Rattus norvegicus: one gene and its partner. The protein of the gene in region 1 purifies or fractionates together with the protein of each later gene. This does not show direct contact. Links are inferred from orthologs where the notes say so. Each region holds a gene or a part of one and is shown in the gene's direction. Other genes may lie near its edges.

The links. Proteins that work in one complex are often made in the same cells at the same time.
Region 2: the proteins of Rbbp6 (region 1) and Srpk2 purify together in Homo sapiens (affinity purification with mass spectrometry; 4 studies listed by BioGRID and IntAct, with this or other methods). This does not show direct contact. The link is inferred for Rattus norvegicus from reciprocal best matches to the Homo sapiens genes RBBP6 and SRPK2.

What each region holds. Positions count from the first base shown.
Region 1 is NC_086019.1:186,953,136-186,959,626, forward strand, and holds part of Rbbp6 (E3 ubiquitin-protein ligase RBBP6), read left to right. Parts: intron 1-12; coding exon 13-185; intron 186-1,206; coding exon 1,207-1,310; intron 1,311-1,435; coding exon 1,436-1,773; intron 1,774-3,372; coding exon 3,373-3,469; intron 3,470-3,598; coding exon 3,599-3,677; intron 3,678-3,769; coding exon 3,770-3,824; intron 3,825-6,232; coding exon 6,233-6,301; intron 6,302-6,491. UniProt on the Homo sapiens protein: E3 ubiquitin-protein ligase which promotes ubiquitination of YBX1, leading to its degradation by the proteasome.
Region 2 is NC_086022.1:12,521,842-12,528,332, forward strand, and holds part of Srpk2 (SRSF protein kinase 2), read left to right. Parts: intron 1-2,698; coding exon 2,699-2,864; intron 2,865-3,952; coding exon 3,953-3,978; intron 3,979-5,182; coding exon 5,183-5,429; intron 5,430-6,317; coding exon 6,318-6,491. UniProt on the Homo sapiens protein: Serine/arginine-rich protein-specific kinase which specifically phosphorylates its substrates at serine residues located in regions rich in arginine/serine dipeptides, known as RS domains and is involved in the phosphorylation of SR splicing factors and the regulation of splicing.

The sequences.
Region 1 (6,491 bases):
ACTCTTTTCCAGAGAGGCCTATGCAATTGGGAAGAAAGAGAAACCACCCTTCTTACCAGAGGAGCCATCGTCATCTTCAGAAGAAGATGATCCTATCCCAGATGAGCTCTTGTGCCTCATCTGCAAAGACATTATGACTGATGCCGTTGTCATTCCCTGCTGTGGAAACAGTTACTGTGATGAGTGTAAGAGATTGCAAATCCTTGTAAAGATGTGTATTTCATGTTTGGGTGGATGGATGGTTGATTGATTTTAATAACTGGTCTTTTTTACCTTTGTTAACTTACTTATTTTTTAGCTTAAGCTAGCTTAAGCCACCCTTAGTTTAATATATGCCCTGACTTTTAACAAGATCCTTACGTGTGTGTGTGTGAGAGAGAGAGAGAGACAGACAGGCGCGCGCGCGCGCGCGCACACACACACACACACACACACACACACACACACACACACACACACACAGGAGAGGTTGTTTTGCCTGCATGTATTTCTCTGTACTGTGTGTGTGTGTGGTGACTTAGAAGCCACAGAGCAGGATATGGGCGAGCTGTCGTGTAGGTTCTAGAAACTGAATCCCAGTCCTCTGTAAGAGTAGTAAACTAAAAACTAAAGAATTTGTCACTCCTTTTTAGACCTAGTTCTATTTTCTTTATATAATATTTTGATTTATAATGATTTAAAATTTTATCTAAATAAAAATGAGTATTTGATATAATACATTTTATACCTGTTTAAACATTTGTTTGAGGTCCATATATGGTGGCATTTTTTTTTTTTTTTTATTTAACTTGGAGGTAGAGTCAGAAGGAAATCTGTGAGTTCAAGGCCAGCCTGGGTTACACCGTGAGACCTTGTCTCAAAACTGTTTGGGGGGTTGGGGATTTAGCTCAGTGGTAGAGCACTTGCCTAGAAAGCGCAAGGCCCTGGGTTCGGTCCCCAGCTCCGGAAAAAAGAAAAAAGAAAAAAAAAACTGTTTGGGACTGGAGAGATGGCTCATCTATTAAGTGCTGGCCGATGTTTCAGCAGACCCAAGTTCAGTTCCAAGTACCACATAGTAGCTCACAATCATGTCGATAAAGTTACTTTTTTTGTTTGTTTGTTTTTGAGACAGTCTCATGGTTTAGGCCTGGGAGGTATCATTAATTCATTATGTCAACACCAAGTTGCTACTGTGCCAGTTCATGTTTAACATCTTATCATACATAGGTATAAGGACAGCACTCCTGGAGTCAGATGAGCATACATGTCCAACATGTCATCAAAATGATGTTTCTCCTGATGCTTTAATTGCCAACAAGTTTTTACGACAGGTAGCTTTTATACTGTTTTTTTTTTTTTACACAAAAAAATATCTTTAACATTTTTACCGATTGAACTCATTGAAATGAGTGATACGTTATTTATTCTGCATTTTTGTGTTTGATGTCTATAATAGGCTGTTAATAACTTCAAAAATGAAACTGGCTATACAAAAAGACTACGAAAACAGTTACCTCCACCCCCACCTCCAATATCAGCGCCAAGACCACTCATTCAGCGGAACCTGCAACCTCTGATGAGATCTCCCATATCAAGACAGCAGGATCCTCTGATGATTCCAGTGACATCTTCCTCAGCTCACTCAACTCCCTCTATATCTTCATTAACTTCAAATCCATCCTCCTTGGCTCCTTCCGTGCCTGGCAACCCATCTTCTGCCCCAGCTCCAGTGCCTGATATAACTGCAACAGTATCTATATCAGTCCACTCAGAAAAATCCGATGGGCCTTTTCGGTAAGTCTACTATATGTCTTATTATTGAAAACAAAAGGATTTTCCTTTGATAATAGTTATTATTTTTGAGGTACAGTCTCACTATGTAGACCCAATCTGGCCTCTAAATTCAGAGATTTACCTCCGCCTGCCTCCTTCCTGGTTGCTAAGTTAAAAGTCGTTTTTTTTTCTAATTTTATTATTTTTATATGTATGGGTGTTTTGTCTGCATTTATGTCTGCAGTCGCAAAGGCGGGTGTTGGAACCCTTAATTAGAACTGAGTTACAGATGATTGTGAGCTGTTATATGAGTGCTGGGAATAAAGCCTGGGTCCTAGGACAGCAAGTGATGCTCTTAACCTCTGATCTATCTCTCCAGCCCCTAAAGTATCACCTTCTTTAATGGACCCCTGTGCTTACTAAAATACAAAATTTTAGCCTAGCAGTGGCAGCATATGTGTTCAATCCCACGACTCAGGAAGAAAAGGCGGGAGGATTTCTGACTTCCAGAACAGCCAGGGCTTCACAGAAAAATCATATCTAGAAAGACCATAGGGAAGGGGGATGGGAAGAAAGAAAGAATAAGTTGTGGTGACCTCCTGAAAGCAACAGTGGATTTTGTGGTCCACTAACACATGCATTCTCTTAACAACTAGCCAGCTTTGGGGACTGGAAAGATGGCTCGGTAGTTAAGAGTATTGTCTGTTCTTCCAGAGGTTCTGAGTTCAATTTTCAGGCAACCACATGGTAGCTCACAACCATGTAGCCTGGGATCTGATGCCCTCTTCTGGCGTGCAGGTGTGCATGCAGATAGAGCAGTCATTTACATAAAAATCTAACAAAACACAGGTGTCAGGTTTTGTTTCATAGATACTGAAAGAAAATTTTAAAGGTGAAACCTTTACATATATAAAAATACCCACTGTTCGAGTTTAGCCTTTATTTAATCAGTAAAGGAAATAATACAAAGACTGCTCTTAGAGCAGTGATTGGTTCTTAACTTGTGGGTTGAAACTGACCTGAAACTGAAGGGAAGTTGACTGACCCTTCACAGGTTGCCTAAGACCACTGGAAAACACAGTTATTTGCATTATGATTCATAACAGAAGCAAAATTATACTTAGGAAGGATTAACAAATAATTTTATGTTTGGAGGTCACAACATGAGAAACTATATTAAAGAGTAGCAGTATTTTGAAGTTTTATATTTCTGCACTTATTTTTCTATCATATTATCGTATGTAGTATTTTTTTCAGGCAATTCCATCTTTTTTTAGTGTATATGCAGGAGTGTGGCAACCCCAGCTATGTGGGTAGAGATAGAGGACAACTATAGGGACTTGATTCTCTAGTGCCATCTTGTAGGGTTTTGAGGGTCAAGTTTCTGTTGTTAGGTCTCATGGAATGCCTCCTCCTAAAGCATCTCGCTGGCCCACCGCTTATGTTATGCACAGAGAGCTCTTTACCGGCCCAGGCCTTTGACTTTCCTCATATACAATCATTATCACTAACTCATATGCTGGGTATAGATATAATAGATAAGCAGTATTACTGATAGTTGTCATTTTACTCATCATCATCCACTATGGTGACGTTTTCTTATGTTACACTGTTTTCTAGGGATTCTGATAATAAACTATTACCAGCTGCCGCCCTTGCATCAGAACACTCAAAGGGAGCGTCCTCAATTGCTATTACTGCTCTTATGGAAGAAAAGGTAGACTGTACTGCCTTTATAATGGAGGGTTGTTTTTTTTTAACAATATACATTTTTTTTTTCATTTTTGCTTTGACTTTTTAAAACTTTAACTATTCTTGTTTTGTGTGTATGTGCTTATTCCTAAAGGGTTACCAGGTGCCAGTCCTTGGGACTCCATCTTTGTTGGGACAGTCATTATTGCATGGACAGTTAATACCCACAACTGGTGAGTAAAATTAATTTTGATTTGGATCTTTTTCCCTTTAGGAAATAAATAGCATTGAATTTCTTATTCATCATTTTTGTTTTGTTTATAAGGTCCAGTAAGAATAAATGCTGCTCGTCCAGGTGGTGGTCGACCAGGTTGGGAACAGTAAGTATATTCAAAATAACCTCAGATACTTGCCTTTGAACTAAAATGTGGCAACTTCATATCAGACAGGCTCTTGCTGAATGCTTTTTATTGTAAACCTCTTTAAATATGCCAAATTAGTACAGGGTTGTTTTTGTTTTTGTCTTTTAAGATTTATTTATTTTTATTTATATGAGTACACTGCAGCTGACTTCAGACGCACACCAGAAGAGGGAGGGCATCAGATTCCATTACAGATGGTTGTGACCCCCACTATGTGGTTGTTGGGATTTGAACTCAGGACCTCTGGAAGAGCAGTTAGTGCTCTTAACCACTGAGCCATCTCTCCAGTCCTAGTAGATAGTTTTTAGAACACAAATTCAGATTTATATGTTGAATTATTTTCTGAAAATAATGCTGTTTGAAAAGCTTGGTTGGAGACAAATTTATACAAGAGAAAATGTACACATAAGTCTGTGTATGGATGTGTGTTTGTATATATGGATGTGTGTATGGTGTGTGTTACTAGGAATTGAGTGCAGGGCTTCAGCACAGGGAATACCTAAGTTAGGAACATATTCTGCTCTGGAGCTTTGCTACCGCCCATCATTTTTGACTCCCCAGTGTATTGACTGACCTTCCCCTAGTAACATAGTTGGTTCTATATGGTGAAAGTATCTGATAGCCAGTTGAGCAAAGGCAAGCTGCATATAGAGAGCAGCAGCAGTCTTAGGTGCGTGCTGTGTAGCCTTTCCCAACAGAAGCCACCTTCAGAGTCACAGTGGCACTGTGTGCATAATGATCAATCTTATCCAGTCTTGATCTGATGCTGCATCTTGACTTCTCTTGACCAGATGGTGCTGTGTATTGTCTATGGAGCTCAATAAATTTTAACTTTAGATGTTTTGTGGTTTCAAAAGAAACAATTAAATAGACTTTTAATCACACTTTATGTGTTCACAACACCATTTTCTTATTTCTTCCAGTACTTTTATGCGGTCTAAAAATATTTCAGATTGCTATCTGAAAAATCTCAAAAGTCCACAATAAATGGGCTCATGAACTTTAAACCCATTTCAGAGGTCACATTGCAATTCTTTTCCAAAACAATGAAATAACAAATTTTTAAGCTCTTTTCTGCATTTAGTACATTTGGATCTTGATTGGACCTCAAATTAGTAAATTGATCCCATATTTAAATTTTCTAGATTCTTCACTTTTTTTTTTTTTTTTTTTTCTTTTTTTCCGGAGCTGGGGACCGAACCCAGGGCCTTGCGCTCGCTAGGCAAGCGCTCTACCGCTGAGCTAAATCCCCAACCCGATTCTTCACTTTTTTAAACAGTTGAACTCTTTCTGTCTTAATTTGAATGATCAAAATTCAATTTAGTAAATAAAAACATTGTAAGATTAATGTCTACCACATTAATCTCATTTTTTTCTGACTTGTTAATAGTTATTAAAATCTATAGGATGTGACTTTGCTGATGCTTTATGGCATTAAAAATTATTAGATTTGGTCTGGAGAGATGACTAATTAATTAAGAGCATTTCATCTCCAAGAGGACCTGGATTTGGTTCCCAGCACCCACAACTGTCTTTATCTCAGCTCTAGGGTATCTAATGCCCTCTCCGAAACTCTGCAGCTACCATTTGCATGGACCTGGTACACAGACATACATGTAGGCAGAATGCTCATACACATAAATTCAAGTATTTTTTAAATTAATATTCTGATTTATTTCTATGAATTACATAGACATTTCTATGAAGCTTACATACTAAATTTTGTTTTCTTTTGTTTGAAAAGATAAACCAAATTTCTTGTAGAGAAAATAGACTGATGAGAGGCTAGTAGAACATATCATTAGAAAGCATATGCCCCTCAGAAGAAAAGGGAATTCTCTGAGGAGCCTGAGGCTGCTGCAAGCTGCACAAAGAGCCGCACAAAGAAAAAGAAAAAGTCGCAGAAGGCACAGGAGGAGGATTAGAACGGACCTGCTTGGTGGGAGGGGCATACTTTATGGTGGCAGTTCCTCCTGCCTATAATAAACCCCAATAAAAACACAAAACCAGAAAGAAAAAAAAAAAAAAAGAAAGCATGTGAAGTTTAGAGACAGGTGCACCTGTGTGTGGATGTAGGGACAGACACAGTGGAGTTGGCATCGTTACTGGGTACAGGACTGTGAGTGTATAGGTTCCTCTTCAACTTCTATTTTCTCATTGTTTGCACTCAAAAAGTATTCTACTTGAGCATGTGAGATACCTACATAGAGCCTTGCTAAACACTAAAATTATATAATTAAGTTTAAGATTAGGAAACTTCAAAGGAAGTTAAAATGCACTGACTGGTTATAATGTACTGTAATAATGATACGTTACACCTAAGAAAAATAAATACTCAGTTCTGTTTTGTTTTAAACCTTTCACAGTTCCAACAAACTTGGGTACCTGGTTTCCCCACCACAGCAAATTAGAAGAGGAGAAAGAAGCTGTTACAGGTAAGAATGCTAAAACTCTTAGAAAAGAACCCCATAGCACTGGGAAATATACAAAGAAAACTCTGGAGTGGTGAGGAAGGAGTGGTTATTTGCTCTCCTCCTTTCTCTTAATAAGTCTTTCCTAGTGATCCTTCAGAAATTTGGGAACTGGGAGTTACAGTTCAGTGGTTAGTTTCTTGCCTGGCCTGTA
Region 2 (6,491 bases), on another chromosome or scaffold:
TTGTAGTGTAATGTTTTCACGTGTTCACTTTACTAACAACTCATTGGTGGCTCATCAGGTCGCATTACTGCACCTGGAATTCATTGGGGGAATTTTTGAACAGTTCCCCTTCCTCCCAGCTACTGCCTTGATTCAGTCGGCTCTGTGAGTACTGTGTACGCCCTGAAGACGGGGGGCGGGGGGCTTCTCTCTTGTTTGTATCAGACTTGTCAGACAGTGCACGGGCTGGGGTGGGTGCTCAGATGCCAAGGTGGGACTGTGATGCTTCCTTCATTCTGGGTTAAGAGGTCACCATAAGCACCTCTGCTTAGATGTCCCTGGTAAGACTCCTCCCTCTTTGCTCTGCTGTACTGCTGCACTGTCTCTGAGAACGAGCGCACTAGGTATTTAAGATGGACAGGAACGTTACTTTTGCACCTACTTCCCAGGGTTGTACTTGAAAAATATGTTTTGTTCTTATTTGTTTCCTTTGGGTTCATTCTGCTTATTTTATGTGTATGTGCATACAGTGCCCATAGAGGGAGGACACAAAGAGCACTAGATCCCCAGAACCGGACTGAACTAGGTGACTGCTGTGTGCTTGACACTGGCCCTGGCCCGCTTCCAGAGTGGCCCGTGTTGTTAATTCTGGTGCTGTCTTCAGCCTGACACTGCACTAATCATCTCTTGGGAACAAGGAGCCTGAGTGGTGGTACTAGTTGTCGAGAGTGTTTTCTGATTCTTGGAAACATTTCAAAATAGATTTTAATTTTGGAAATTATTTTAAGGATTCTTCTTCAATGGGGATAATTCCAGAAAACGTGGGCTTTACTTTCATGTCAGGTGGCACCAAATAAGCTTTGGTTTGCTCTAAATGTTTCTATTCAGATTGTTTTTTGAAGTTGGGGTTTTATGCAGCCCCGTGGAGTCAGGAAGCAGCTGAGGAGGCCCTGGTCTGCTCCTCTAACTCCTCAGTGCTGTCGTCTCCGTTGAGCAGGGATTGTTCTTAAGCTTGCAGTGTTGTAGAGAAACTAAGGCTATTTTTACTTAAATAAAAATTTTCCTTTCCTGAAGCATTGAAAATAAACATAAGGTAGAAGGTTTGCTTGAACTTACAAGTTCAAGACTAGTCTGGGCAGCACAGTGAGGCCCTGTCTCAAAAATAAGCAAAAATAAAAAGAAACACAAACCCGGAAAGCGCCAAACCCAGCAGAAATGAAGCACAGCTTTGTGCCCAGGAGAGCAGAGACAACTTAAGAAGACCATAGTTTCGGATGAGATGAAGGGATTAGAACTCTTACACACAGCTTGTACTGTAGGTTGGTAGGCTGGCTCTGCTGTCGCGGTAAACGGTAGAGCCTGTCGTTAGGCTGACCGTAGTTGCCATGTAGCTCAGCACTGATCTCCTCAGTATGTCACCACGAAGAGCCACAGGAAAATGTGCACGTGGATGTGTATGGAGGTGTTACCTCCAATCGTCAGGGAGCAGAAACGGTTGAGATTCCCATTGAGCAAATAAATAAAGAAAATGCCATTTGCAGGCTGGGGCCCAGTGGTCAAGAGCGCTGGCTACTCTTACAGAGAACCTGAGTTTGTTTCCCAGCACCCACGTGGTAGCTTATGACCATTTTAACTTGGGTCATATATGTGGTGCCACATTCATACATGCAGACAAAACACACACATACTAAATAAGAAGGAGTAATCCTTAAAGAGTGCCATGTGTCTGCAGAGGGGACATTGTTCAGCAATACAGGAAGTGACTAGCTGGTGTGTGCTACCCAGCATGTGCCTCCGTCATGATGCCAGGTAGAAAAGAGCACTTGGGACGAGGGTGGCCTTTATAGGGTTCTGGGACTCGGAACTCGGGCCCTTAGATCTAAAAGGCCTGGTGTGCTGGTGTGTGTCTGAAATCCCAGCACTGGTGAGGAAGAGACAGGGCTTCTTGAGGCTTACTGGGCAGCCATTCTAACCAAATTGGTGAGTTCCAGGTTCAGTAAGAAAAACCAGTATTTTTCAATTTAAAAAAAGTGGGTAGGGGGATGGGGAGCCTTTAAGGAATCCATCTACTGTTGATTTCTGGGTCACTCACAGGCTCATGAGTGCATGGACATTGGACATGTTTACCCGAGCACAGAGACCTCTTTACATGAGTCAGGCACATAGCCTTGTGGTTAGGACTGTCAGAGGTGGAGGGAGAGGGGAAGCCACTACTCATGTCTGTGGGATTTCTTTATGGACTGACGCAGATGTTCTGAATTAGGTAGTATCATATTAATAAACGCGATAATGTAGATTTGAAATTTTAAAAGATGCATTCGCTTTTATTTTCTATGTATGAATGTCTGCCTTTGTGGGGTCTGTACACTGTGTACCTTGTGCCCACAGAGGTGACACTGTGTACTGGGCACTGTGTACTGTGACACCGGTATACTGGAACTGGGCTTGGAGACAGTGGTAAGATACATGTGACCCTAAGGCCTCTGGCAAAGCTCTGAAGCCCTGGACTTATTGCATATAAAATTCTTATCAAGGGCATTATGTCTGCGAGCATAACTGAATTCTGAAGTGATGACATTGGTTGCCTGTGAGGAAACTCCATTTTTAGAGTAAATGTCTCTAAAGTGTATTCCAGCTGCATATGGAGGCATTGCATGGCTTAGGCTTAGTAAGTCATGGACTGAAGCACTAGGGGTCCTGTTTGCTTTACCGTGACCAGGTCCTTCAGGGCTTAGACTATCTACACAGCAAGTGCAAGATAATCCACACTGATATCAAGCCGGAGAACATCCTGATGTGTGTGGACGGCGCGTACGTGCGGAGAATGGCGGCCGAGGCTACGGAGTGGCAGAAAGCAGGTGCTCCTCCTCCTTCTGGGTCTGCAGGTGAGGGGCTGAGCCCTCATTGCTCTGTCTGCTTGGGGCTGTGAGCTTCTAAAGCTCTTTAGTGAAGGCCGTGTGTCTGACGTGCACATACGCATTAGGAACTTTTTCTAAGAGTTTAGATGTTGAAGATGCTTTTGCTTAAGATGAGGTTTGAGTTCATTCTTTTAACTCTTTGTCTTCTGTTACCTTTGCTCGTTCTCAAAGGCTTCATCACGTAGGTGCACGCTCCCGTGTGGTCCAAGTTTCTATGGAGAGTATACGACCAGTTTCTTGTAGCCGACCTGCAGACTTCTGATTTTTTTTTTTCCTGATTTGGGTTTTATAACAAATGTTTTCTTTCCTTAACTACTATACCTGCTTCCATCTCAGTTTAGCCAATAGTTTGGTGTTGGCTGTGGAAGCTCCAGGGTGGGGAGCTAGAAAGGGAAGCAGGGACATGAGCACTAGCGTCGTTTCTCTTGGGAAGTTGAGAGGCTTCATTGGGGAGATTGGGATGGAGATTGGAGTGGGTGTGCTTCCCTCTGGCTGACTGACAGGGCTCCAGAAAGAAGCGCTGCCGCCTCATCACGAGCACCATGGTGATGTCATCACCTCACCTCACGCAGCCCGTTTATGAAGCTTCTGATGCTGCCAGGCCGAGTTCTGGAGCCACTGCACAGTGTGCTGCACTGTGTGCCCTAGTTCACGTGTGTGGTGCTTTCCGTGTAGTCTTCAGACATGGCTGTGCACCTTCTTCGCTAGCTAGCATGTCCATTGCCTCATATGCAAAACATGTTCCGTTATGTGACTGGCTTGTAAGCTCTTCCATTTCTTTTTCTTTTCCTCTGTAATTATTTTGTCAGTGCTTTGAGAGAGGCTGTTTGCAAGAAAAGTGCTTCACGTGCACAGCGTCTCCTGCGGCCTGGAGCTGCGCAGTCTGTTTGAATTGCATAAGCTTTTGCCAGGTTCCTATCTTTAGCAATCTCTGAGGTGAAAGTTGTTCAAAGTTGGGTAGTTATTAAAAGGCAGTATTATCTCAGTTTGCAAATCAAATTACCCAACAGTGCCTGTCTTCCTCTGATCATCCGTTTTGTTTTATTTTGTTTTAGTGAGTACGGCTCCACAGCAGAAACCTGTAAGTATTTACGTGTGATCAGCATGTCAGGAGGGACCGTATTTACGTGTGGCCAGCATGTCAGGAGGGACTGTTTGTTCCTGAGCTGCACAAACTGTGTAGCAAATGTCATAGTCTTCACTAATTTAGAGGCGCATGTTTGTAAATGCTCTGTCATTATATAGGGCATGACTTCCTGCTGTGGACGGGAACAGTCAAAGCCAGTCTCCCCCTGGGCTCTCTTGGCTGCTGTTGGCTGAGTTCGGTGAATTGCAAGGCTTTAGTTCAAATTTAAAATCTAATTGTTCCAGAATCTTTTTTAAATGACTTCTGCCTGGCCTCCAAGTATCCTGTTTTGCCAAAAAACATTTTAATTTTTTATAGCTAGCTGTTTAAGTGAGAAGGATCATTATCTGTTCTGTGATCCTGTCAAATCAAGACAGTTCCAAGTCTGAATTGTTACGGGGGAGTCCAAATCACTTTTAAAAAAATTATTTATGTATGTGAGTACACTGTCTTCTCTCTTCAGACACACCAGAAGAGGGCATCAGATCCCATTACAGATGGTTGTGAGTCACCATGTGGTTGCTGGGAATTGAACTCAGGACCTCTGAAAGAACAGGCAGTGCTCTTAACCACTGAGCCATCTCTCCAGCCCCCAGATCATGTTCATAGCTCTCCCCTGAGCCTTAGGTTTGGGTTTATGGGTCTGAGAAACTTTGCAGACCCTCCTAGCCAGGGCTTTCCAAGACTTATGGCTGTAGCTTGAGGCACAGAAAACCGTGGCTTTTCCTTTTTTCCCTTCTTTCTATCGTCTACTGATTTCTGAAAGTCCATGGTGTTCACAGCTTGGTGTCAGAGCCACATGCAGACACAGTGCTGTTGGCACTGGTCTGGGCAGGTGCTTGTTTTTGTCGTTAAGGATTCTGGATACAGCCAGCAGCAAGGAAAGCTTGCAAGAGAAGATTCTTGCTCACAGCCAGGTATTTCACGGAGCTCAGCTCTCCTACTTTCCTCATAGAAGTTAGGGGAGACTAACCGTGTGAGCACAGTCCTCCCCTGAGGTGGCTCTCGTGGCTGGGTTAGTGAGGAAAGCTGAGTGTGTCCTGGAAAAGCAGTTACTGTGTTACCAACATTTCAACTCGTAAGGAGTGTTTTAAAGAGTGCTTTTCTGATCCAAGGTGTCATACTCCCGCCTGACACATACTCTCTTACCATGTTGTAGATAGGAAAAATATCTAAAAACAAAAAGAAAAAGCTAAAAAAGAAACAGAAGAGGCAGGCTGAGTTGCTGGAGAAGCGCCTGCAGGAGATTGAGGAATTGGAGAGAGAAGCCGAAAGGAAAATCCTAGAAGAGAACACCACCTCTGCAGAAGCTTCCAGTGAGCAAGATGGAGAATGCCAGCCTGAGGTGAAACTGAAAGAGGCCGAGTTAGAGGACACAACTGAGGAAGAGACAGCAAAGGACAATGGTTAGTCCAACTCAGAGCAGGAGGGAGGGCTGGTCGCGTGCGGGAGCTTCACACGGGGTCATTTCTGAGAGCGTCTGAGAGTATCTGAGCTGCCACCTCAGTCACTAAGGACGGCTTTCTCTACCTCTCCTTGGGGATGATGGGGGCAGCATAGTTCATTTGTGAAACTCTGCTAAGCGCATGTTACGTCACAAAGCAGGGGTGTGAGAAGGGGCGGAGGATGTCTGAGAAGCACCCTAGTGTTAATGATGACCCTTTCCTTATTCTGTAATTAGGCCTTTGCCTAACTTTAATGCAGCATAGATCTTCTTTTTTTTTTTTTTTTTTTCTCTCTTTTTTCTTTTTTTCGGAGCTGGGGAGCACAGATCTTCTAAGGCGACAGAAGAGAGGGTTAATGGCTGGAGAATGGATCAGTAGTGCAGAGGAGCTTGGCTCCCAGTTCCTCCAGTGTCATGGTGCTCACAGCCTCTTGTAACTGTAGCTGTGAGGGCTCATGAATGTGTTCACACACAGTTGAAAAGTGAGCACCTTAAAGATCAGGTACAGTAAGCTTCTTTGAAAAAGAAGGGACTAAAGTGAAAATCCAGCTTTACTTGTAATTTCCCCAGAGCTAACCTGTCCCTGGCTAGAGGACTCATTACTGAATAAACAGAAACAAGATTTAGAATGCCGCCTTGCCTTGACAAGCAAAAGGCGTGTTCTGGGATCTGTCTGAGTTGCCTCCTAGCCGGGTGTGGTGGTGCATGCTCAGGATCAAGGAGCCCAGAGCTCGGGATGCAGAGGCAGAGGCAGGCGGATCTGAGTTAAAGAAGAGGCTCTCCTGTGTGAGGCCTATAGTGCTACTGTGCATGGAGAGTCGACTCCAGTCTTAACCCCATCTTCTTTAAGGTGAAGTTGAAGACCAGGAAGAGAAAGAAGACACAGAGAAGGAAAACACTGAGAAGGATGAAGATGATGTTGAACAGGAACTTGAGAACATAGACCCTACGTGGATGGAGTCCCCTAAGGCCAACGGCCATATTGAAAATGGCCTGTTTTTACTGGAGCAGCAGCTGGAGGATG